Rhinolophus ferrumequinum: one gene and its partner. The protein of the gene in region 1 purifies or fractionates together with the protein of each later gene. This does not show direct contact. Links are inferred from orthologs where the notes say so. Each region holds a gene or a part of one and is shown in the gene's direction. Other genes may lie near its edges.

Region 1 (10,601 bases):
TATCCCTGGCATATTAAACAGTGTCTTTCACTTCCACAAAAAATGTACTCTCTCCCACTTCTCTTGAACCGTGAAGCCCTCGGTCCACGCTGGGTTTCCATAGATAAAAGGGAACAAGATCACAAGGGCGGATGATGGGAGTTGTGGGGAAGGCTTCCCCCACCTTCCCAGGGCAGCCGCCCTCAGCCTCAGCCAAGGGCTGCCACACGGGAATGCCGAGCTGTGGCCAGATCTGCCAGTTTATCGACATTGTCCGCAGATTCAGACTTTCATGTGAAGTCTGGTTTTTTAATGTTGGCAACTAAGTCAGATTTTAAAATTCTATTTAAAAAAGAATAAACAGGTCAAATCCAGTGTGAGCACAGCTGGGGCCCCAAGATGAAGAGGTAGTCCAGGAAGCACCAACATCTCAGTACTGGGCAGAGAAAGCAGGAGCTGCCAGAGGGCAAGGACAGCCAGAGAACTGGGGGCCAGGTGGTCGGGCGGGGCAGCCGGCTCAGCCAGAGTGTTTCCAGAACCTGCCAACAGTGTCAACCAGGCAGATAAGGCCGAGGAGTCCCCATGGCATTTCGCAACAAGGTGATATTTGCCAGATCAGTTTAGCAGAGAGTTGGGGCCGCTGCCAGAGTTAGAGGAACAAGGGGGAGGTGGTGAGGATGTAGAAGGAGAGTGTAGACAAGAGAGTGCAGACAGCTCGGAGGAGGCTGGGCTGTGGTGGCCGGAGGACCACTAGCAGCCCTACACCTGTGCGCCCAGAAGGGTGACGGGAGGAAACTGGGAGGTGTCTGCCAAGGGAAGGTGGGTGAAGAAGGGGAAGCTCATACCGTGTTTCCCAAAAAATAGGACAGCCAGACCATCAGCTCTAATGCGTCTTTTGGAGCAAATATTAATATAAGGCCCAGTCTTAATTTTACTATAAGACCCTAAAATTAAGACTGGGCCTTATATTAATATTTGCTCCAAAAGACGCATTAGAGCTGATGGTCCGGCTAGGTCTTATTTTCAGGGAAACAGTAGAAGGGTGGATGTAAGGGGAAAGGAGGATGGAGAGCAGAGAGCTGGGGACTAAACCTCAGGAAAGAGGTGCTCACGTGGATGGAAGTAAAAACAAGCACGGGGTACCTGCTCCGAACGGCTGCCTCTGCTGGGACCCACAGAGCAATCACTTAAAGAGTATATGTCATTTAATCATGGAAACACACTTAACAGAGATGTCATTAAGTGCATATTTCAGATGAGGGACCTGGGGCTCAAAGAGAAAGTGACCTGGCCAGAGCCACCCAGCCAGAGTGGCCTGGGTCTGCTGCTTCAAGGCTGCAGTGCTCCCCACTGCGCCTCCTGGCTGCTCCCCCATCACAGAGCTGCAGGGATCACAGTGTTCCAAAGCTGGGGTGCGAGGCTGTGTGGGTGGAAGCCGTGGCGACTGGGAAATGTCCTTGTGTCAGGTAGGGGAAGCCATTAGCGCCCTTGGAGAGTGCAGCCTCCCCAGCTAAAGGGGCAGAGCCCATGGCAGGGGGCTGAGTGGGAACTGGAGAGGCAGTGTGTAAGAGGGGCTTTTTCCAGCTCAGAGCAGCTAGAGCTCATTCAAAGTCAGCAGGGAGAGAGGCGGTAGAGGGAGAGGAACTGAGTACAGAGAACAGGCAGGAACTGATGATTCTGTTGCTGCCTCCTCAGTGCCAGGCCCTGCGTGGCCTTGGAACACATACAAGGTACACACCACCCTGTGGACCCTTCCATGCAGCCCTGCTATGGGAAGGCAGCTGAGGCCAGCCCCATACAAGCAGGGAGCAGCCGGGAGGACTGAGTGGGCCTGAGTCCAAAGCCAACCAAGAGTGGAAGTAGGGCTCCTCCCCAGCTGGGGCATAACGGGGAGGTAGGGTTCCAGGGGCCCTGGTAGGACAAGAAGAAGCTCGCTGGGAGCCTGGGGAGGACTCAGGAAGTCAGGCCACCCCGGGGAGATCATGCAGTGGGGTAGCTACAGAGTGGTCAGGGAGCGCCCCGGGATGGGCCTGGGTCTCCTGCTCAGCCTGGGGGACTAGGTCAGCTCAGCTTTCACCCATTTCCCTTGCCACTGATAAAAATGACCGCTACTAGGTAGATGAAGAAGGACTCTTTCAGTGCAAGTGTAACTAGTTTAGCAGAAACAGGGAGAATTTATCTCATTTAACTGAGGTTAACGGCTTCAGATCTGGTGGGACCAGGTACTCTGGGTGTTACCAGCAGTCTGTCTGCTGTCTCCATCTCTGGGCACTGCTTTCCTAAGTGCTGGCTGTATTCTCAGGCGGCTCTCCCCATTATTGGGGAGACACCCCTCAACCAGCTCCAGACCCACATCCTGCCAGCTCAGCAGCCCCAGTAGAGGCTTTCTCAATGATTCCAGCAAAAGTCCCAGGGCTGCTGCCCATTGGGCTGACTTGGGTCATGTGTCCATCCCTGAAGCAGTCACTGGGTCTGACCGGTGGGCCTGGAACACAGGCTCCCCTCTGGAGCCTGTAGTGGAAAAATCAGCCGGAAGACAAGGGTAGGGCTTATGGAGGAGAGACCCTCGAGCTAGATCCAACAAGATCCGGGCCAGAACAGACTGCTTCCCATAAATCCCCTCAGAGACTGTCCCATGGTCCCCTCCCATGTGTCCCACCTCCTGCTCCTTCCTGGAACAGGTCGCTGCACACCCCGCCCCCCAAGCATGGGAAGCATTTTCCCATTATCTGGGCAGGTCACACCCCGGTGCCCCATCCATCCAGTCCTGTCCTATATAACCCTTTGTGCCTGCCACGTGGCCTGGAGGACATCCCTGTCACCTCAGTGCCATCGCCCAAGATGTGCCTCTTATGTAAGCTCTCTTAATAAACTCTTGATATAATGCTGGAGTTGTCAGCCTTTTTCTTCAGTCTCTCAGGCCTGGGAAGTTTTACATAACAGGGATGCCTGACCATGGACAGCCACTGCACTGGGCACTTTTCCTCCATGCCCAGGACTCCTGCACCCGGACTTTTCCTTAGACCCTACAGCTGTAACCTGAGGAACTACCTCTGACTAAATTGCAGGCCAGGCTAGCCCCTACATGTGGAAATGGGGGTGCTAGAAGGGGAAGTGGGAGAATAGGTGGTAGACTGACGTGATGTGGGACAGTCCTGGGTTCCCATCCAGACTTGCTACTCACCAACTGTGTGCCTCGGGGCCTCACTGCTCCTCTCTGAGCCTCAGCTTTCCTATCTGTAAAATAGTGATAACAGCCCACATCTCAATGGCATCTGCTATGTGCAGTTGCCATTTTAAGCACTTTCTAGATACTGTTTTAACATCCTCAAACAGACCCTATGAGGTAGGTACCATCATCATCATCCCCATTTTGTAGCTGGAAACGAGTAAGACAAAGAAGTTCAAGGAGTGAGTCTAAGGTCACACGGTTAGCAAGGTCCGTGGATTAGCAAGATCTGGGCAGCAATTGGCTTGTGAGGAGCAGAGCTTCTGTGGGAAAGTGGCCGGCCCAGTGCCAGGGCCCACACCTGCAAGGATGAGGGGGCATTTTTGAAGGTGTGCTTGGTATGAACTTGCAGAGTCAGGGTGAGGGCAGAGAAGGCTCCACCAGCCTGTGCTAAAAAATAGTCCTGAGGCCAATGTGTCATCCTCGAAGCCTTCCCTGAGATGTGTGGGGAGCACAGAATAGGAAGGTGGGTGTGGGGGGGAGGAGGGCCAGGCTGTGAAAAGGAAGGGAGGGGTTCTTATTTTCCAAGCTTCCATCCAGTCACTCACAACATGTTATCAAAGAGGAAACTCAGAGAAGGAAAGCATTTTAGCCCAGGTCACACAGCAAGTGACCAGCTTCAGAACTGAATTCTCCCTCTTTGTTGACTTTTGCACTCTGGGGACCCAGAAACCACTGGACCAGCCTCCCAGGGTGTTGTGGAGGCTCACTCTCTGGGGGTGGGGAGACCACTGTGTTAGTGGCTTAAAAGGTGTTCAGTGCTGAGAGTAATAGACACCAAGTCCTGGTGGGAGGACCGCCAAGTAAGCACCCAGCACCCACCCACCAAAGTGGGGTGTGTGGCTTTCAGGGCTAAAAGGAGGCAGGGTCACAGAGGAGGTAGTGATCAATGGTCACCCCACTCCCACAGGTCGAAGAAACAGGACTAAGACAGGACCATCGAATTTGGCAATTTAGGGGTCACTAGTGACCTTGGCCAGAGCAATTCCAAGAACAACGGAGACAGGGGGAGACAGATTACAGATATACAAATTACAGGATGAAGATGTGGAGGGAGAAGGGTGAGAAGACCAGAAGGGCTGGGCTCCAGGGCAGCCAAGCAGGCGACCCTCTTGGTTCCACTTACAAGGCCTCTCTGTACCATCTTTGTAATTTTTCTATGAATCTAAAACTATTCTAAAATGAGCTTATATAAAAATATAGATGGTAAAGAGGGCGTGGCTGGAAAGAGGCAGGAATTTGAGGGAGAGCATGCATGTGGGCTTCTGTGTTGTGGATGTGAAATCGAGCAAGCAGGAGGCTGGGAAGGGGGCCAGGGAGGGGAAGGTGGGAGGAATTCTGAGCTGGGACAAGTCAAAGGAAGCAGGAAGGGGCTGAGACCCAAGATCTCCCCTTCAGCCCTGTCATGGGATTTCCTCCCACCCCAGAATCCTAGTGACCTTGCCTGGGCCTTGCTCCAAGTGGGGGCTGTGGAGAAACTGCTAGGGCCAGGGGTCCATGGGCATAGTGGGCACAGGCAGGGGTCTGTGAACGCTTTTGAGTTTTAAGAGGGTTTTCTTACTCCAAAGCGCTGGGAACCACTGCTGGAGATCAACGCACACGCTACTCTCCTCCTCCTGTGGCCAACTCAGAACTCAGAGGCCCAGCTGAACCGTCTCCCAGATTAGACTAGGTAGTTAGCTCAGGTTCCATCACCTCCCTGGGAAGATGGGGGTGGCTTTGTAGGTGGTGCGAAAGGCTTCTGAGAGCTGGGGAGAGTTTCAGGGTCCCACCTCAGCAAGGAGCAGACGTGTTTCTGGAGGTGCTGGCAGTGGTGCCCACTCTCCTGCAGGGGACTCCTCTGAGGCCCTAGTGCTTTCTGTGCTCAGAGCTTTGGGGGAAAAAAGTGCCAGGAGGCTGGTCCTGGAGGAACCCTTCCCTGAGTCTACAGTTAGATGCTACTACTTGAAGGAAGTCCACTTGGGATCCTCTACGATGCCTGAGGCTTGCCAGTCAAGGCAAAGGAGTTCCTGGGCTGACCCCATCTGAGAGGGGCCAGGAGGCTGCTGGTAAAGAAGGGGGGCTCAGCCTAGGGGTGGTGGAAGAGGCTGGCGATACTGTGGTAATGAGCTTGGTTGGGGCTGGGGATGGTCAAGGAGGCAGGGATGTAGAGGTGCGGTTGGTTACTCGGATCAGAATGAGGACAGGATAGGCTGGACTGAGGAGGGTGCATCTAAGGATGGGGTGTGGGGAATGGGGGTGCATGCTAAGCATAGAGTTGGGAATGGGGCTGGAACTGGGGCTGGGAAAGAGATGGCAGTGGACAGTGGTAGGATGGACTGAATGGGCCTTTCCGAGGTGAGGCTGGGCGGCAGATGGGCCAGGGGTGGCTGATCTGTGAATTGGGTTGGGACTGGGGGTTTGGATGGATCAGGGATGGGGGTGAGACCAGGATGGAGATAATTAAGCACCAAATGGGACTGGGCCGGATTGGAATGAAGTGGATTTGGGATTGGGACTGGGAGCTGATTAGGAGAAGAATCAGCTGGGGACGGGGATGGTTGGAGCTGGGGAAGAGGGTGAGTACCTTAGGCTGGGAACACGGTGAGGGTTTGGGACGCGGGTGCGATGGGCCTCGGGAGAGGAGGGGCAGGTTGGCCCGGGTGCGGACGCAGAGGCGGTGGGTGAGGGGCGGGGGGCGCCTGGGGCAGGCCGGGAAGGGGGGGCTGGCCTCCCCCTGGGCTGGGCCCGGGCGGCGCTAGGACCGAGCGCGGAGGGACGAGCCGGGCGGAGCCAGCGCCCCCCGCCCCCCGCCGGCCGGCTCCCCTCCCCCGGCCGCTGGCTCGCTCGGCTCTCAACGCTGCAGAGGCTCCGAGGCGGCGGCGGCGGTGACTCCCTCGTTCCCTCCCTCTTCTGTCCGTCCGTCCGTGCGTCTGTCCGTTCGGCCTGGGTCCGGCCCGCAGTATGGCCGGCGTCAGCTTCAGCGGCCACCGCCTGGAGCTGCTGGCGGCGTACGAGGAGGTGATCCGGGAGGAGAGCGCGGCGGACTGGTGAGCCCCCGCCCCCGCCCCCCGGCCCCTTTGTCCCCGCGCCGCCGCCGCCGCCGCCGCGCCTTTGTTTCCACCCGGCCCGCCGCACGGCTGCAGGGAAGGGAGGGGGCGACCCCGAAATGGTGGAGCGGCCTGGGAGGGCCGGGAGGGGCTGCCTTTGTGCGCGCCGGGGAGGGGCCGGGCGGGGTGCTGCGCCCCGAGGCCGGCCCAGGCGCGCGGTATGAGCGGTGGCCAGACGCGGGTCGGAGAGACGCAGGATCTGGACGTGTGGCCCGGGGCCACATGGTCCTGCAGGAGCCCATCCCCCGTCCTCTCCCCCGCCGGGGCTCAGGGGACAGGTGTGCACCGGGCGGCCAAGGGCACCTTCGCTACCTTCTAGCGGGCGCGGACCGGGCGGTGACGGGGCGGGGACCCAGCTAGCGGAGCCAGCTCAGCCTGCCTGGCCCAGCCCCGCCGGCCGGCCACAGCACAAAGGAACGCTAGGGCGGGGGAGGAGCAGAGCGGGCTGGGGGCCGAGGCGCCCCGCCCACCGGGGGGGCCTCTCGGAGTTGGGGTGTGATGGAAAGACGTTCATTGCACATGGCAACCGTGCAGTGACTCCTGTTCCTCTCAGTGGTCGTGGAGGAGACGGAGATAAATGGGATTGTAGGTACTGGGCAGCTGGGCTGGGAGATGCCAAGGGGGCCAGCTGGGGACCCTGGGAGGAAGCCCTCAGGCGCACACGCGTGGAGGGAGCCCCTAGAGAGGGATGAGGGCTGAGTAGATCCACTGAGCCCCCAGCCTCATCGCACAGTGGCAAGGGGCTCTCGGCTTCCTGGTGGGGGAGGAGCTGGGCTGCCCTCTTCCCCCTCCCCAGCTGTTGTCTCCCCAAGCTCTGGGAGGGGTGGACCACCTGCTCTGAGGCTGGTGTCCCCAGGGTGGTAGGAAAGCCAAGGGGTTCCACACTGCCCCATTCAGGAATCATCCCCCCAAAAGACTCTTCTCTTGGGGCAGGTACCCATTCTGTTCCCAGGCCTCTTCTCCCCTTGGCAGGCAGGAAACTGAGGTACAGTGTGAGGGCAGGCCTGAGGGACCTCACTTGAGCTGGCCTTACCCTCACCCTGGGAAGGCATTTGGGAAGGGACACTGACCTGGGGGCTGGAGGAGGGGACAAGTGGTGAGGTGTCCATGCCACGGTACTGCAGCACTGGCGGGCAGCCAGTCCTGGAGGGATGGACGCGGGAGACAAGCTCATGTCCTGCAGGTCAGTCACAGGAGAGGCCAGCACAGGCGAAGTGGGCAGGCGGCCCACCCATTGTCCCAGCCCTGCCCCTGGGGGCTGAGATCATGGGAGAAGTCCAGGGCAAGTGGCTGCCTTGGCCTAGTGGAGGAGCTGGCCTCGAGACCCGATGGGCCCTGCCTGAAGAGGGGCAGGGTCCATCATAGAATGCCCCCCTCACCCTCAGTCTGGGGATACTGTCTATCACCACCCCATCGGGCCTAACCCCCCAAAAGCAGAGCTCTGGAGGCCCAGTGCGGGTCCACACAACCACTGCTGGCCCACGTCCTCCTCAGCAGAGGGCTGGGCTCCCACCACGCAGCAGCATCCATGTGGCCAGAGTGAGTTATTCATCACTGGCGTGCGTCACCCCATCTGGGTGTGTGTGAGGCACACACAGATTCACACAGCCTCGCACATGCACACACGTATTCACTCTCAGTGGCCTAGGTAGCATTTTGTAAAAAGGGTGTGAGGATCATGTCCTGCTGCCAGCTCCGAGCCAGGGGTGCAGTGGGGTCTCAGGACTCAGGCACAGACCCGACACTAAGTCTAGAGGAGGATGTCTTGGGTAAAATTGCTGCCTGAGCAAAGGAGGCTTATCATTGCCCTCCCTTATCTTGCCTCTGAGTGGGGCTGGGGAGCAGGAGGGGAGTGGTCACTCCTGTGGCAGGGCATCTGAAATGGACCACTGTCCAGGTGGGAGCAGGGGACCCCAGGAAGTTAGGTTGTGTAGTGGGAAGAGCCAGTGTTGCCCTGGATGTGACAGACTCACTATGTGACCACACACAAGTGCCTGCTCTTCTCGTGTTCTTGAAAACAAGGAGACTCAACCATATCGGGACCTCCAGGGCCCATCTGGCTCTGACATCCTGAGAGTGTGATTGTCCTGAGGGGTCCACCTGCCCTCAGCCTCCCACGTTAGCTGACTCCAGCATCTCCTTGGAGCTCCAGCTCCCAACTCACCTCAGTCCAGTTTCTCTGGCCTAGATGGTTTTTCAGTGTTAGTGCCAGTATCTCAGGTACCTACTGGTGCCACTGTGGGCTGGACCCTGGACCCAGAGAGTGAAGTATGTTGATTGACTGAGTCAGACATCCTGCCTCCGCGAAGCTTAGGTCTGAGGCAGTGTCTGTCTCCAGGGCTTAGAGCTGGTGAGACATGTAGATTCCTGGTTCCCCCCACTCTGACTTCCTGCGGTTTCACCAGCTCCCACTGTCCAGGCCCAGGCCAAAGCCGGCTCTGCGGTATTTGAGAAGCACTTGTTCAGTGAGATCTGCGGCAGGCTTAGATGCCTTTTTCCATCCCTGCTGGGGTGTGATAATGCCTGAGGAGGTGCACCTCAGGACAGGGCACAGCTTCCTAGGGAGCTGGCATTGGGGCCCCGAGGGATTTCTGCCAGGGGTGGGCATGTGGTAGAGAAACTGGTCTGGTCTTTTTGTGACAGGAATCACATATGCAAAGGCTCGAGGGTGGGAAATACCCAGAACTGTGTTTGGCATCCGCGAGCCGTCTAGTGTGACCCCAGTGTGTGGTGTGGACACAGAAGGTCTAGCTGGAAAGGCAGGCAGGTGGGGCTCAGGGTTGAAGGCCTGCTGAAGGCTTTGAACTTAGCTATGGTTTCTGTCAGGTCAGTGGCTGGAGCTGAAAGGTGGCTGGAAGTGGGCAGGCAAGAGTTGAGGATGGAAGGGGCAGTACATGTGTAGCAAGGGCACTCAGAACTTCTGGGAGGCTAATAGTCACCCCTGGGAGGTGTGTGTGTCTGGGAACCAGGGTCTCAGAGTTCTGCCTCAGTTTCTCATTTTTGGAATGGGAAGGGGCAGACTTTGCTTCTCTGAGGGCCCTTTGTTCCCAGTGACGGGTTAGGGCAGCCGGACAGGTGGTGGGACAGCTGTGCTGGGAAGCAGCTGCCAGCACTGGGGCCCAGGCGACAGTTGGAGCAGGAGCTCTGGGCCTCACAGCCCACCTGTGTCCCTTTCCGGAGGGAGGGGTCCTGGAAAGTGTGTGTGTGTGTGTCCTCCCTCTTCCCTCCCTCCTTCCCTCTCTCCCTCCCTCCTTCATTTCCTCATCATACCTTCACTTTCCTCCTTTCTCTTCTCTTCCTTTCTCCTCTCTCTGACTCCCTCCGTCCCTTTCTCTTCTCCATCTCCTTTGTGCTCCCACCTGCCCTCCTCTAAGCCCCCAGCCTCCTGCCTTGGCAGTAGGAAAAGGGAAGCTTGGGGAAGGGGCTGAGCCCTCTGGAGCCTCCTCAACAGGGCCCTTCTTTCTTGCTCCAGGTCTGTCCTCCTAGGGGGTCCTTGGGAGCAGACATCTCTGCCTTCCCATCTGTGAAATGGATGCTGTGCCACTGCTGCCTGGCGAGAAAAAAATCTAGGGAGGAGGAAGGCTCCTAGGTCAGTTTTCTGGTGATGCTAAGGCAGAAGGAAAGGCCAGCAGTCCCAGGAGGCCAGGGCCTCAGCTAGGACAGAGGTGGCTTAGGAGCTAGAAGGCCAGAAGTGTGTGGTCACCCAGGGGCCAGAGTCTGGGCAAGAGTGAGTGGGTGACCTCATCCCCATTTCAGAGAGGAGGAGATTGAGACCCAGGGCGGATCCCTGGGGTCCTTTGTGTTCAGGAGATTGAGGTTGGGATGGGCCAGTCATGTGCCAGTTGCTGAGTTGCCATGGTTACCAGGGGATGCCCTGAGCAGAGTGAGCACCAGGTTCTCTCCTCCCCCTCCCTTGCTGTGGTGGGGAGGGGCAGTGGGTACTGAGGCAGCGCCAGGTAGGTTCCTGGCAACAGCCAATGGGGATGAGGAACGTGGTAGCCAGGGAACAGTAACCAAGGAACCGTTGCCTTGGAATCTCCATCTCACACCCGCTTGCTGGATTGTAGGCTGCCAGGGCCAGGGCTCTGAGGACACGACACATGGGCAGTGATTTCTAAGCCCCCATTGCTTATTCCCCACCTAACCCAGGCCCCCTTCCCCCTCCAGTTGTCAGTCGGAGAGTGCTCAGCCAGAACCCTGTCCTGTTTTGCCCCCTCTGTGTCCCTCCTCCTCCTCCTCCTCCTCCTCTGTAGAGTCATCCCCACCCCAAATTGGCGCCTGGGCCCTGACGGTTCTGAGCTACC
Region 2 (10,782 bases), on another chromosome or scaffold:
CATTTACAGTGTTGTGCAACCACTACCTCTATCTAGTTCCAGAACATTTCATCCCCTCAAAGGAAACTCCATGTCTATAAAAAGTCACTCCTCACTCCCCCTTTGGGGACCTCTGGTTTTAATCCACATCTTGCAAAGTAAATGTCTCTAATATTTATTTGCAAATGTCAAATATTCAGAGAAATGGGCACACTCACCCACCATTGCTGGGAGCAGAGTAAGATTTGGCACACGTGGTATGGAAAGCGGTATGGCCCTAAGTGTCCATCAAAAGCCTTGAACATGTGTGATTCCACTTTTAAAGGCGTCCCCAAAATGTGACCCTCCAGGAAGCAAACTAGATGCCCTACCCTAGGGGATCAATTTAATAAATCATGGAGTAGCCCCTGATGATGAAATCTTTCAACACAAGAGGGCAGACTGGTATTGATCAGTGTGGAAAGTGGGCCTCCACTGAGAAGTCGTGGGTATTGTATGATTGCATTGTGGCTGAGAAGAGAAAAAAGAAAAAAAATCTAATGAAATAGACCATCATGTTAGTAACAGTGATTTCTGGGCATTTGTTTTATTTTTAAAATTTCATTCACTTGGCAGATATTTATGGAGCACCTGGTGTGTGTCAGCCCACGCCCACCAAAGGCAGGGATGGCGTCTGAATTTTGTTTGTATCCTGCTCCAGTGTGTTTTTTTTTTTTAATTTTTTAAATTGGGGAATATTGGGAAACAGTGTGTTTTTCTGGGACCCATCAGCTCCAAGTCAAGTCGTTGTTTTCAGTCTTGTGGAGGGTGCACTCACTGGCCCATCGTGGGTCATCTTGGGAATCGAACTGGCAACCTTGGTGTTATGAGCGCTGTGCTGTAACCAACTGAGTCAACCGGCCACCCCTCCAGTGTGTTTTAAATTACCAGTGAACACCAAGCACATTTTAAGTTCATAATTAAAATGCACTCAGGAAATTAAATGCTATTTACATTATGCTTGTCTGTGTTTCTTAAAACGTTTTACACTGAGCACGTGTTACTTTGGCAGTCAGAAGAGAAAACACATAAAGCTGATCCTGTTAGAAAATGTATGCCACGGCTCCTTCTGGCCTCTCACCAAGAATGAGGTTGATATGGCCCAGCTCCTGGGATCTACTCACCAGCCCATCAGCCACTCAACACACTTGCCACTGTTTCAGGAGGTGGGAGGGTCCCCGCAGGTCCCTCTCCTCTTGGCACGCCCCCCTCTCAGATTCAGTTTCCCCAGTTGTAGAAGGTGACCGGCAAAGCTCCCAGCAGGGCCAGCTTCTGAGTTTAACGCTCTGATGTCACTGTCTTAAAGTTCTGAATAATTTTCTGAATTTGCTGTTTGCGCAGGGTCCTGCTAATCAGGCAGGTGATGCTGCCCTGTTGGATCCATCGACAAGCACTCATCCTGTGCCTGGCTGTGATTCCCCACCCGGAAATCATGTGGCCACCGCTCTCAGGCCTCCCAGACAGAATAGGACAGGACAGGACTCGAATGCAGACCCCTGAATGCAGCCTGTATATAGTGTCTCCCCTGTGTATGCAGCCAGTGCATAATGTGTGACCCTTTCTCTTTCCCTCAGTGGTCCTCCTCCCCCAGCCTGGGGGACAGGAGGCTCTTCTGTGACCTCCCTTGGGGCTGCAGGATCCATACTCAGGGAAGCAGATGTTTCCGTCCTGTTGGAGGCCTGGAATTTCAGAGATAAGAGGGCTTCAGAGGGGGGAGAGAGAGGGAAAGAGAGAGAGAAAGAGAGAGAGAGGGAGAGAGAGAGAGAGAGAGAGAGAGGAGAAAGAAGGGCCAGATAGAACAGAAAGGGGGTTATTGAGACAGACTCCCTCCCCAAGGCCCTGGGAGTGATATGAACTCAGAGCCTGTGGCCAACCCCAAAGATACAATAATAGGGCTGATAACCGTCATTTGTTATCAAGCACAACCCAGGATACCCTCTGCCTCCAGATAACAGAGGAAGAAAGTCTTAGGATCACCCTTCTCAGTCCATCTACCATGTGGCACTCTGGTGAAACTTATCCAGCACATGTAAAAACAGATCCTGACCTTCTCCTGCTCAAAAGCCTTTCATGGCTCCCCAGGGCTCTGAGTATAAAGTCCACACTCTGCTGGGGCCCAAAAGGCTCCTTGCCCACCAGGCTCCTCACTATCCCCCCAAGTCAACCTGTTCCGGCCACACCTGCGTCCTCAATGCTTCTCCAAGGGGCAGAGCACATTCCCACGTCAGGGCCTTTGCACATGCTGTTCCCCTTCTCTGAGCAGCCTTCACCAACTACGGGTCTTTGCTTGTTGCTTTGTCTGTTTTTCTCTACTTTGCATAAACTGTCGGAAGTCAACCTACTTGTTCCTCTGTTAATCATCTGTCTATGCACCAGATAGCTGTGCACTCCCTCAGGGCAGGGCCTCCCAGAGTGTTGGGACACAGGAGGTGCTCAATAAACATGAGTTAACAGATAAGGAACCACCATCTTACAGAGAAGGAAATAGAGGCCCAGGGAGGCCCCCAATGTGTCCATGGAGACAGGCTCTCCCACCCTGGGTGTCTAAGCCCAGACTGTATCAAGTCCACCTGCAGGCAGGTGATGCCTCCTCCCCTACCAGTGTGTAAATAAGGCTCCAAAGGCTGCAGGGAGCAGGGCTTGGCTCTCAGACCCAGTTTAAAGCCAAGCTTTCCACTTGGCCAGTTTTGATTTGGAGAATTGGTTTAAGGCCCCTGAGCCTCAGTTTTCTCTTCTATAAAAATGAAGTTAGAGGTCGGGCCCATGGGGTCCTGTGTTAGGCGAGCACAGCAGGGGTCCTCCCCAGTGTCCCCTTTGTGGCCTCCCACACTGGGCGATGATGGGGCCCTGAGAGGCCTTGGCCTGAGCCTGGATTCTGAGAAGCCCTGATCTGAGGTGGGGGCAGAGATAGCCCCCTCCTATGAGGTCAGGGTTGGAGGAGTAGAGGGAGTCTGGGAAGGCTTCCTGGAGGAGGGAGTGTTGGAGATGAATGCAGAGGTTCAGATGTGGGGTCCAGCAGTGTAGCCAATGGTGATAGGGAGCTGGATTCTCCCTTTGAAGCCTCCAGGAGAGCCATGAAAGGTGCAGGAGCAGGAAAGTGAGCAGTGCAGCCAGTTAAAGGGATCCTGGGAGGCAGAGGGAGGGCTCGTTTGGGGGCGTCCCAGAGAGGTGAATCCTGACTTCAGTCTGTGCCTGGAGACCAGGAATGGCCTCCCCTAGCAGATCAAGGGAAGAGGCTGCCACATGTGAGTCACCCAGTTCCTGCAAGAACATTCAGCACCCGTCGGCCCCGCGTAGGCTGTCACCAAGCAGGAACACAGCCCCCGGAGCCCCTCCTCTCCGCCTTCCCTGAGGCCTCCCGCTCTCTGTTCCCACAGCTGTTCCTTCAAGGCCGCAGAAGGAGAGTAGGAGGACAGGGCAAGCAAAGGAGAGCCCATGTAGACTGCTTGGCCAGAATTTGGGAGTTTGGGGGGAGGAGAGCTTCCCTGGCTGAGGGTCCAGTGTGCGCGCTGGGGCTGTCTAAGCCTCAGGACTCTACCCAAGATGGGGAAACTGAGGCTCAGGGAGGTTCTGCGCCCATTTTCCACATATATAGACACCTGGTTCTCTCCTAAAAGCTAAAAACCAGCTTGGAGCCTGCATTGTAAATCTGATCACGTCTCTCCCTCTCTGGCTCCCAACTCTCCCATGGCTCCCAAGTACCCTTGGAATAAATCCAACACACTTTATCATAGCCCATGAGGCCCCACCTGGCCTGTGACCCCCTCAACCCTCAGAATCCCCTACTCTCCTCTCACTCTGGCCACCTGGCTTCCCCACTGTTCCTCCAATGCACCCAGCCCATCTCCACCCCAGGGCCTTGGTACATGCTGTGCCCTCTGCCCAGAGCACACTGTGTGAGTTATTATCCCCATTTGATCCCTCAGGAAAGATGCAAAGAGAGGACGTCATGTGCTCAGAAACACACAGCAAGTCAGTGGTGCTTGGTGTTCCCAGCCAGGCCCATCTGACCAGCCCTCCACAGCAAGCCCTCTCCCCCCGATGGTGCCACGATTAAAACAGGCCTCCAGACCAGTCCACCTCAGAGCTGATTCTCAGCCCCTCCAGGTCTTGCCACCTCCAGCTATGTGCCAAAGACCCTCAGGCCTCAGGCCAAAACCCCTGCTCAGGGAGCTCCTGGGCCAACCCGACCCACACATCTCCCAGTGTCCCTCCTGTCGTGGCCGCAATTTCTTCGCCCCACTTTCTGCCCTTCACGCTGGTGGATGGCAGAGCCTTCAAGGACGGCATAGCCAAAAATAATCGGTCCCGACCTACCTCCCAAAAGTGGAGCAGCCCCCGCCCAGCCACCTGGCACCACAGAGGTAATTAGTGCACGTGGCAATGAGGGTAATTAGGTCTGTGGGATCCAGGTTTGGAGTTGGGAGGGGGCACAAGTGCTGCCACTTCCCACCCCTGACCTGCCCAGGTCCTGGGAGCTCAAGTTCATAACCCAGGGCTGGACCCCTTCCCTCCTCAAGCACCTGTGTGCCTGGGCCTGAGCCAGCGGGCTCCATTATTTCCTGGGGGCTGTTTAATGAATTAACCTTAGCTTTGGGCAGAAGTTGAGTTAGATATAAAATAAGGCAGAGTTACTATCACCAATATCGAGTCATCAAACTCTCCTCTGCCATAACCCCCATGCATCCACCCAATGCCAGGAGACGCCAAGCTAAAGGGAAGCCTCAGCCCAGCTCTTGAGGTGCCTCAGGGTAGCGGAGTCAGAGTTAGACACAGACACCGGCAGCCCCTTGGGGTCAGAGTTGGGCCAGAAGGAGGGAAAGTGTTGGGGAAAATCTAGGGGAAGAGGAGGGAGGGCTTCTCACAGAAAAGAACACTGGAGGTGGGGTGTTGAGGGACGATTAGGAGTTTTCCCAGAGGATTAGTTCTGGTAGCTGGCTCAACTGGACATGGCTGGGGGAATGGGGAGAAGGAAGAGGAGGATGGCTGGAGGGGCACATAAGGGACCCAGAGCTAAATATTTAGAGGATATCACACCAGGTTGGACCAATTTTGTCCCCAAGAGCTTACACCTGGTTGGAATCCTTCACCCTCTAACAGAGAAAATCTTAAGAACTTTGCTCAGGATCAAAACCACATGCCCAGACAGCCAAGAATAAATATAATGTTTATAACAGTGAGCATTAATTAAGCTCCTAGGATCATGCCCTCTTCATACAAGGACTTGGGTCCTTACAGGAAACCTCAGAAGTGGGCACCATTCTTATGCACATTTATAGGTGGGGAAACTAGGACACAGAGAGGGAAAGTGGCTTCTTTAAAGTCACACTTCTGGTAAGAGGCAGGGCTGGGAGTCACTTTCTGGCTCCTGTGACTCTGGAGACCACCAAAGACCAATGTTGGGATCTAGCGATCCCTTCCTTCTGGAAGCATTTACAGAGGATCTCCTGCAGGTCAGGCTTGCTCTAGGTGCTGGGCAGAGCTGTGAAAGAGGTGGATGGTAACCAAATCATGCCACAACAGATATAGGTAGCCACTGTGACTCATGTCCTGTAGCTGGGCATGTCCCTTTGGAGAAGAGTGACAGACTTCCCCTCTTCTGGTGGGACAGGAACCCTCCAGAGAGGACAGAAGATTTAGCTTTAGTACAAAGGTTGGGTCACAATAAATAGAGGCCATAAGCGCCACTCTGCAAACTGCTTCCCTAGAGCCCAACAAGCCATTCTAGTCCTCGCTTGGTGCCTCCTATGACAGGTTGTTCATTCTCTCATGTCCTTCCTTAGTCCCAAGGGAAAGCTGTTACTTCTAGTCAGCCACTCTGGGGTGGTGCTTCTGCCCACCCTGCAAGGATAGACCCAAGGAGAAGTGGGCTCAGGCTGGGGTAAGGGTGGCAGCTCAGGGAAGCCCCCTACCCATCTATACCCAAGAGAGAGTGAGGAGCTGCTGGTGTCACCTGGATCCTCACTGCTTCCTCCCCAACCCCAGGCCAATGCTCATCAGCCCATTCTCCAGGTGAGAAAACAGGTCTGTACTGACAAAGCCATTCCCTCAGTTTGGACTTGACTAAGACAACTTCAGGTCAGGGTTGCTCAAGGCCAGCAGCATCCCAGCCCCTCCTGGAGCCTGAGAGGGGTGTCCAGGAAAGGATTCAACTCCCCACTCTCTCTCATGCTGTTGCCTTCTGCCCACACAAGGAGGAAAGCTGGCCTGGGCCCTTCGCCTGCCTCCCCCTTGAATGGCCACGTGGCCCCAGTTCTGTAGCCGGCTGGCACTCAGCACACCCTAAGCAGCTTCCAGAAGACTCGGCCCTGCAGGCACCTTTCCAGTTACTTTATTATTATTTCTTTGGTAATAAGGAAAAGTCACTTTTGCACAGAACAGACGGTATTCTCTTTGTTCCCCACAGTGTTCAAGCATTTTGTGGCTTCAGGCCTGAGAGCGAAGCCAAATCTTTTGCTCGTACAGATGCCTTGTGAAGTTAGAAGCAGCCTGGGAAACTGAGTCTGTGCCTCTTTCCCCAGTAAGGCTGGGGGTCCAAGATGGGCTGGCCCTCCAGGAGCTCCCAGACCTGGCCGCACTGAACTAATAAACAGGTAACACACATCAGTTATCCGACAGAAAGGGAAAGGAGAGTGGGGCAGGGCAGAGCAAGATCGCTTCCAAGCCCAGGATGGTCAGAGAAGCTTCCAGGAGGAGAGGGGCGGGGAGCTGAGCCTCGAAGGACCAGGCAGAATATATGCCTGTCAGAAGGGCATTCCAGGTAGAGGAAACAGCTTGGGCAAAGGCCTGGAGGGAGGAAACTCAGGTTTTGGCCTGGGACTAAGTCTCTAGAATTCATCTAAAGGTAATTTGAAAGTAGCTACCAGTTTAGATGTGTGATTCTTGTCAGGCAAACAGAAATAAAAGAAGAGGGAAAGGAGATGTGACAGACCAAAAGCAAAACTTCTCAGGTTGTCAGAAAGCTCAGAGCGTCAGGGAACTGTGAGCCTCGGGCAAGGCCTCCTTGCCTCTGCCCACCGCCAAACGGCACTGTGCAACTTGGAGGCAAGCTCAGGCCTGGGGAGGTGATCGCAGCTCAGCCCCCTGAGGACCTGCTTCTGGTAAGTGTATGAAGGGCGGGCTCCCTCTGACCAGAAGCGGCAATCCAGGCCTGCGGAACTCCACCAGACTCACCATTCGGTGGGAACTGGACCCCGACCATCCCTAAGCCCTAGATTCAGGGATCCTATAACACACCAACGATCACCATCCCCTACGGTTGTTGGCATTGCCACAGTTGTCTTGTTACATTGTTGTAGTTCTCCGTCTGTCTATCTCCTGTGTCTCTACCTCCCCCCGCCCCGTCTCGGTCTCTGGGTCCCCCACCCCAGTCCCCTTCCCCGCCCTTACCCCCAATCCCACCCCTCTCCCCATTCCTATGGGCTCCCCCACCCCCAGCACCGTGGAGGGCCGGTAGAGGGCGCTGCGGGAGGCCTCGGGGCCCGGGGAGGCGGGGCGGGCGGCGGCCGCGTCGGGACCGACCGCGATGGGACCGGAGGCGGCGCGGGCGGCGGCGGCGGCGCAGACAAAGGCGCGGGCGGCACGGAGGGCGGCGCGGAGGGCGCGAGCCCCGGAGCCATCGAGAGAGCCGGGCGCCCGGTGCGGGGAGTTAGCACCGCTGGCCGCACCCGACTCCGCCCGGACGCTCACGGGGCGCCCAGCAGGCAGGGTGAGCCCGGCCGGCCGAGCTTGCGTCGGGGCGCGCGGGCCCCGAAATTCCAGGGCCGGGGAAGGGCGCCAGTGTCCCCGAAGTCCCGGACACGGAGGATGGGGGCAGCCGGAGGAATCCCGAAGTTCCAGGTCTTGCGGGGGCGCAGGGGCCCCTAAGTTCCGGAGCTCGGGTCGGGGAGGGGACAGTGCGAAGGATTCCCAAAGTTCCGCGCTCGGCGTCGCAGGAATGTGTCTCCCGAAGTTCCAGACCTGGGGCGGGGGTCGGCGCAAGGGTACCCCGAATTCTAGACCTGGAGATAGAAGTGTGGCAGGGGGTCCCCAAAGTTCAGGAATTGGGGGCGGTGCGGACGATCCCCGAAGTTCTGGACCTTGGGGTGGAGGAGGCAGATAATGGTCCCCGAAGTTCTGGTCCTGGAGTCGGGGGCGTCGCAGGGATCTCGGAAGTTCCAGGGTCGAAGGCCTCACTAACCGAAGTACTGGGCGCCCCGCTCCTGACGCGGGTGGGGACTCAATCCTGACTATCAGGCCCCCGACTGGGACGCGTGGGGTGGGGCTTCGCTCCCACAGGCAATTGGGGATTCCGGGCACCCGGCGGTTGGGCCCCCTCCCGGAGCCCCACCGCCGGCGGCGTCCGAGGCACATGACTAGTTGGTGAGTAACTTTCCCCAAATGCGCAAGTCTCTGCAGGAGAGTCCTGGCCTTAAGGGCGTGAGTTCTGGGACCCCTGCGCGCCGCGGAGCCCCTGCCAGACCCAGGACCCGCCCCCAACCCCGGCCAGAGTTGCCGCCCCTCCCCCACCAGGGGCTCCGGTTTCAGACCCTGTGACCAGGACAGCAGCTGCCCAGGAAGGGGGGGGACGTCCCCCTCTGACCACGGAGGCCACTTGGCCGTGCATCCCTTCCTCCAATGTGTCCCCCCTTCTCCTAGGTCCCTCCTGGATCCCCTGCAGATATCCTGGATGCAAGTTTGTGGGCGCGGGAGGGTCAGGAAGTCTCCCTGGGCAGCTGTTCCCGGCTTTGGTGGGAGTGGGGTGGCTAGAGGAACCAGCAGAGACTAGGCAGACCATCTCCCAATCCTGGGTCCCGCCCAACCCCCATGGTATTGGGAGTGAGTGCTGATGGTGGTCTGGCAGTGGGCACCTGTGATTGGTCCTGTTTGGCTACATCTTGTCTTTTTAACTAGGATGGGGTTCCCTGAAGATTTGGACTTTGACCCTAAGTCTGTGCCTGGGGCCTAGAGTGGAAGTGGAGGGGTCCCTCTGTGGGGCTTGTGGGAACTGGTTTCCCAGTAGGCACTTGGTGATGCCTCACTTTTTGCTGGAGGCCCTGGTTTGGGGAGTGATGGGTGAATGTGTGGGGAAATACTGAGCGGGAGCTGGCCTTGGCCTTCAGGACAATGAGAGATGGATGCTGAGATGTCAGGGGCCACCTGGCTCCTCTCAGAGAGCCATCTCCTGCCCAGAGTGTGGTAGGGGCTTCTCTGGGTGGAGAAAGTCAAGGTCTTCTTGCTCTGAGTGACCTACTGATTCCCTCACCTTTTTGATTGAAGTTCTGTGAACGGTGCACCTCGTGTTGGGTCCTGAGGTTGGACCTGCTTGGCCTCACTCAGCGTGTCCTGGTGGGACACTGACAAGCCCCTTCTCCCCCCAGAGGCCGAACCAGCAGCTCCTGCCACTCCTCTGGCTGCCCCTTGGAGCTCACCCAGCCCAGCTTGACCAATGTCCACAGCCAGGTGAGCCCCTGTCTCTACCGGCTTGGCCCTGAGCCCCTGGAGGTGCCCAGCCCCCACTGAGAGCCCTCTCCCCACGCAGGGAGCAGCCCATCTTCAGCACACGGGCACACGTGTTCCAGATTGACCCAGCCACCAAGCGGAACTGGATCCCCGCTGGCAAGCACGCACTCACTGTCTCCTACTTCTACGATGCCACCCGCAATGTCTACCGAATCATCAGCATCGGGGGTGCCAAGGTCCTGGCGGGGCCTGGGTGGGGCAGCAGGGGACAGGGGTCCCAGCAATAGGCCTGGGTCTGCTTGTTGCTGTGTGGCTACGGGCAGAGGGAGTAGGGAGCCCTGACCCTTTCTGAGCCTCAGTCTCCCTCCTGAAACGGCTCAGACCAGAGCCTCCGAGGCACTAATACAAAGTGGTCCTCCAAGGTCTGACGTTCATTATTAGCAGTCCCGTTAACCTTGAACTTTGCTCCCCTCTCCCCAGGCCATTATCAACAGCACTGTCACTCCCAACATGACCTTTACCAAAACCTCCCAGAAGTTCGGGCAGTGGGCAGACAGTCGCGCCAACACTGTCTATGGCCTTGGCTTTGCTTCTGAGCAGCACCTGACCCAGGTGGGTCTCGGGGGTGTGAGGTAGGAGGGAGAGGGCTGGGTGTGGGTCTTCTGGATGCACTGGGGCCCCTGGGCAGGTGCTGGGATTGCACCTTCCCAGCTGCAGAATTAGACAAGCCAGAAGCCCCGTCCTGGTTCCCTGGTTTACATCCCAGCTCTGCAGGCCACCTGCAACCGATTTCAGGCACACCCTGCCCCTCTCTGGGTCCCTGGGCTGGGTACTTCCCCACACACCCTGGCAGTACATCATCATTTCCTTCCACCCTCTGCTGTCTCTAAACTTCAGTATTGTTTTATCCATTGTTTTTCTGGATAGTTAGTGCCCTGAGTCCTGCCGAAGGCATGACAATTTTCTTCTAGAAGCTTTTGTTTTCCTTTCACATTTAGGTCGTGAATTTATTTCTGTGGGTGGTGTAAGGTAGGAGTATTTTTTGCAGTTGAATGAATATGCAGTTGCTCTTGGGCCATTTTTGAAAAGACCATTTGCCCAGTGAATTGCACTGCCCCTTTGCACAAATCAAGTGGCTGTATATCTGTAAATATTTTCTTTAAAACATTATTTTCAAAGTAAGGAAATTTATTTTAAAATGAAAAAAAAAAAAAGTGTATCCTACCCTAACTGGAAAGCTGGTATGGGCAGTAAACATTAATACAACAAAAATGAGAACAGGGCAATCATTTTCTCACTGGCTAGAGCTCTGAGCACAAAACC

What was found.
Region 2: the proteins of DBN1 (region 1) and HOMER3 purify together in Homo sapiens (co-immunoprecipitation; 3 studies listed by BioGRID and IntAct, counting the BioPlex papers as one, with this or other methods). This does not show direct contact. The link is inferred for Rhinolophus ferrumequinum from reciprocal best matches to the Homo sapiens genes DBN1 and HOMER3.

Annotation. Positions count from the first base shown.
Region 1 is NC_046307.1:5,149,504-5,160,104, forward strand, and holds the start of DBN1 (drebrin), read left to right. Parts: upstream 1-5,987; 5' UTR 5,988-6,151; coding exon 6,152-6,237; intron 6,238-6,817; exon of another isoform or gene 6,818-6,874; coding exon of another isoform or gene 6,875-6,882; intron 6,883-10,601. UniProt on the Homo sapiens protein: Actin cytoskeleton-organizing protein that plays a role in the formation of cell projections. Required for actin polymerization at immunological synapses (IS) and for the recruitment of the chemokine receptor CXCR4 to IS.
Region 2 is NC_046301.1:51,532,304-51,543,085, reverse strand, and holds the start of HOMER3 (homer protein homolog 3), read left to right. Parts: upstream 1-6,410; 5' UTR 6,411-6,611; intron 6,612-6,693; exon of another isoform or gene 6,694-7,118; intron 7,119-7,537; exon of another isoform or gene 7,538-7,726; intron 7,727-9,377; 5' UTR 9,378-9,445; coding exon 9,446-9,459; intron 9,460-9,538; coding exon 9,539-9,695; intron 9,696-9,939; coding exon 9,940-10,071; intron 10,072-10,782. UniProt on the Homo sapiens protein: Postsynaptic density scaffolding protein. Binds and cross-links cytoplasmic regions of GRM1, GRM5, ITPR1, DNM3, RYR1, RYR2, SHANK1 and SHANK3.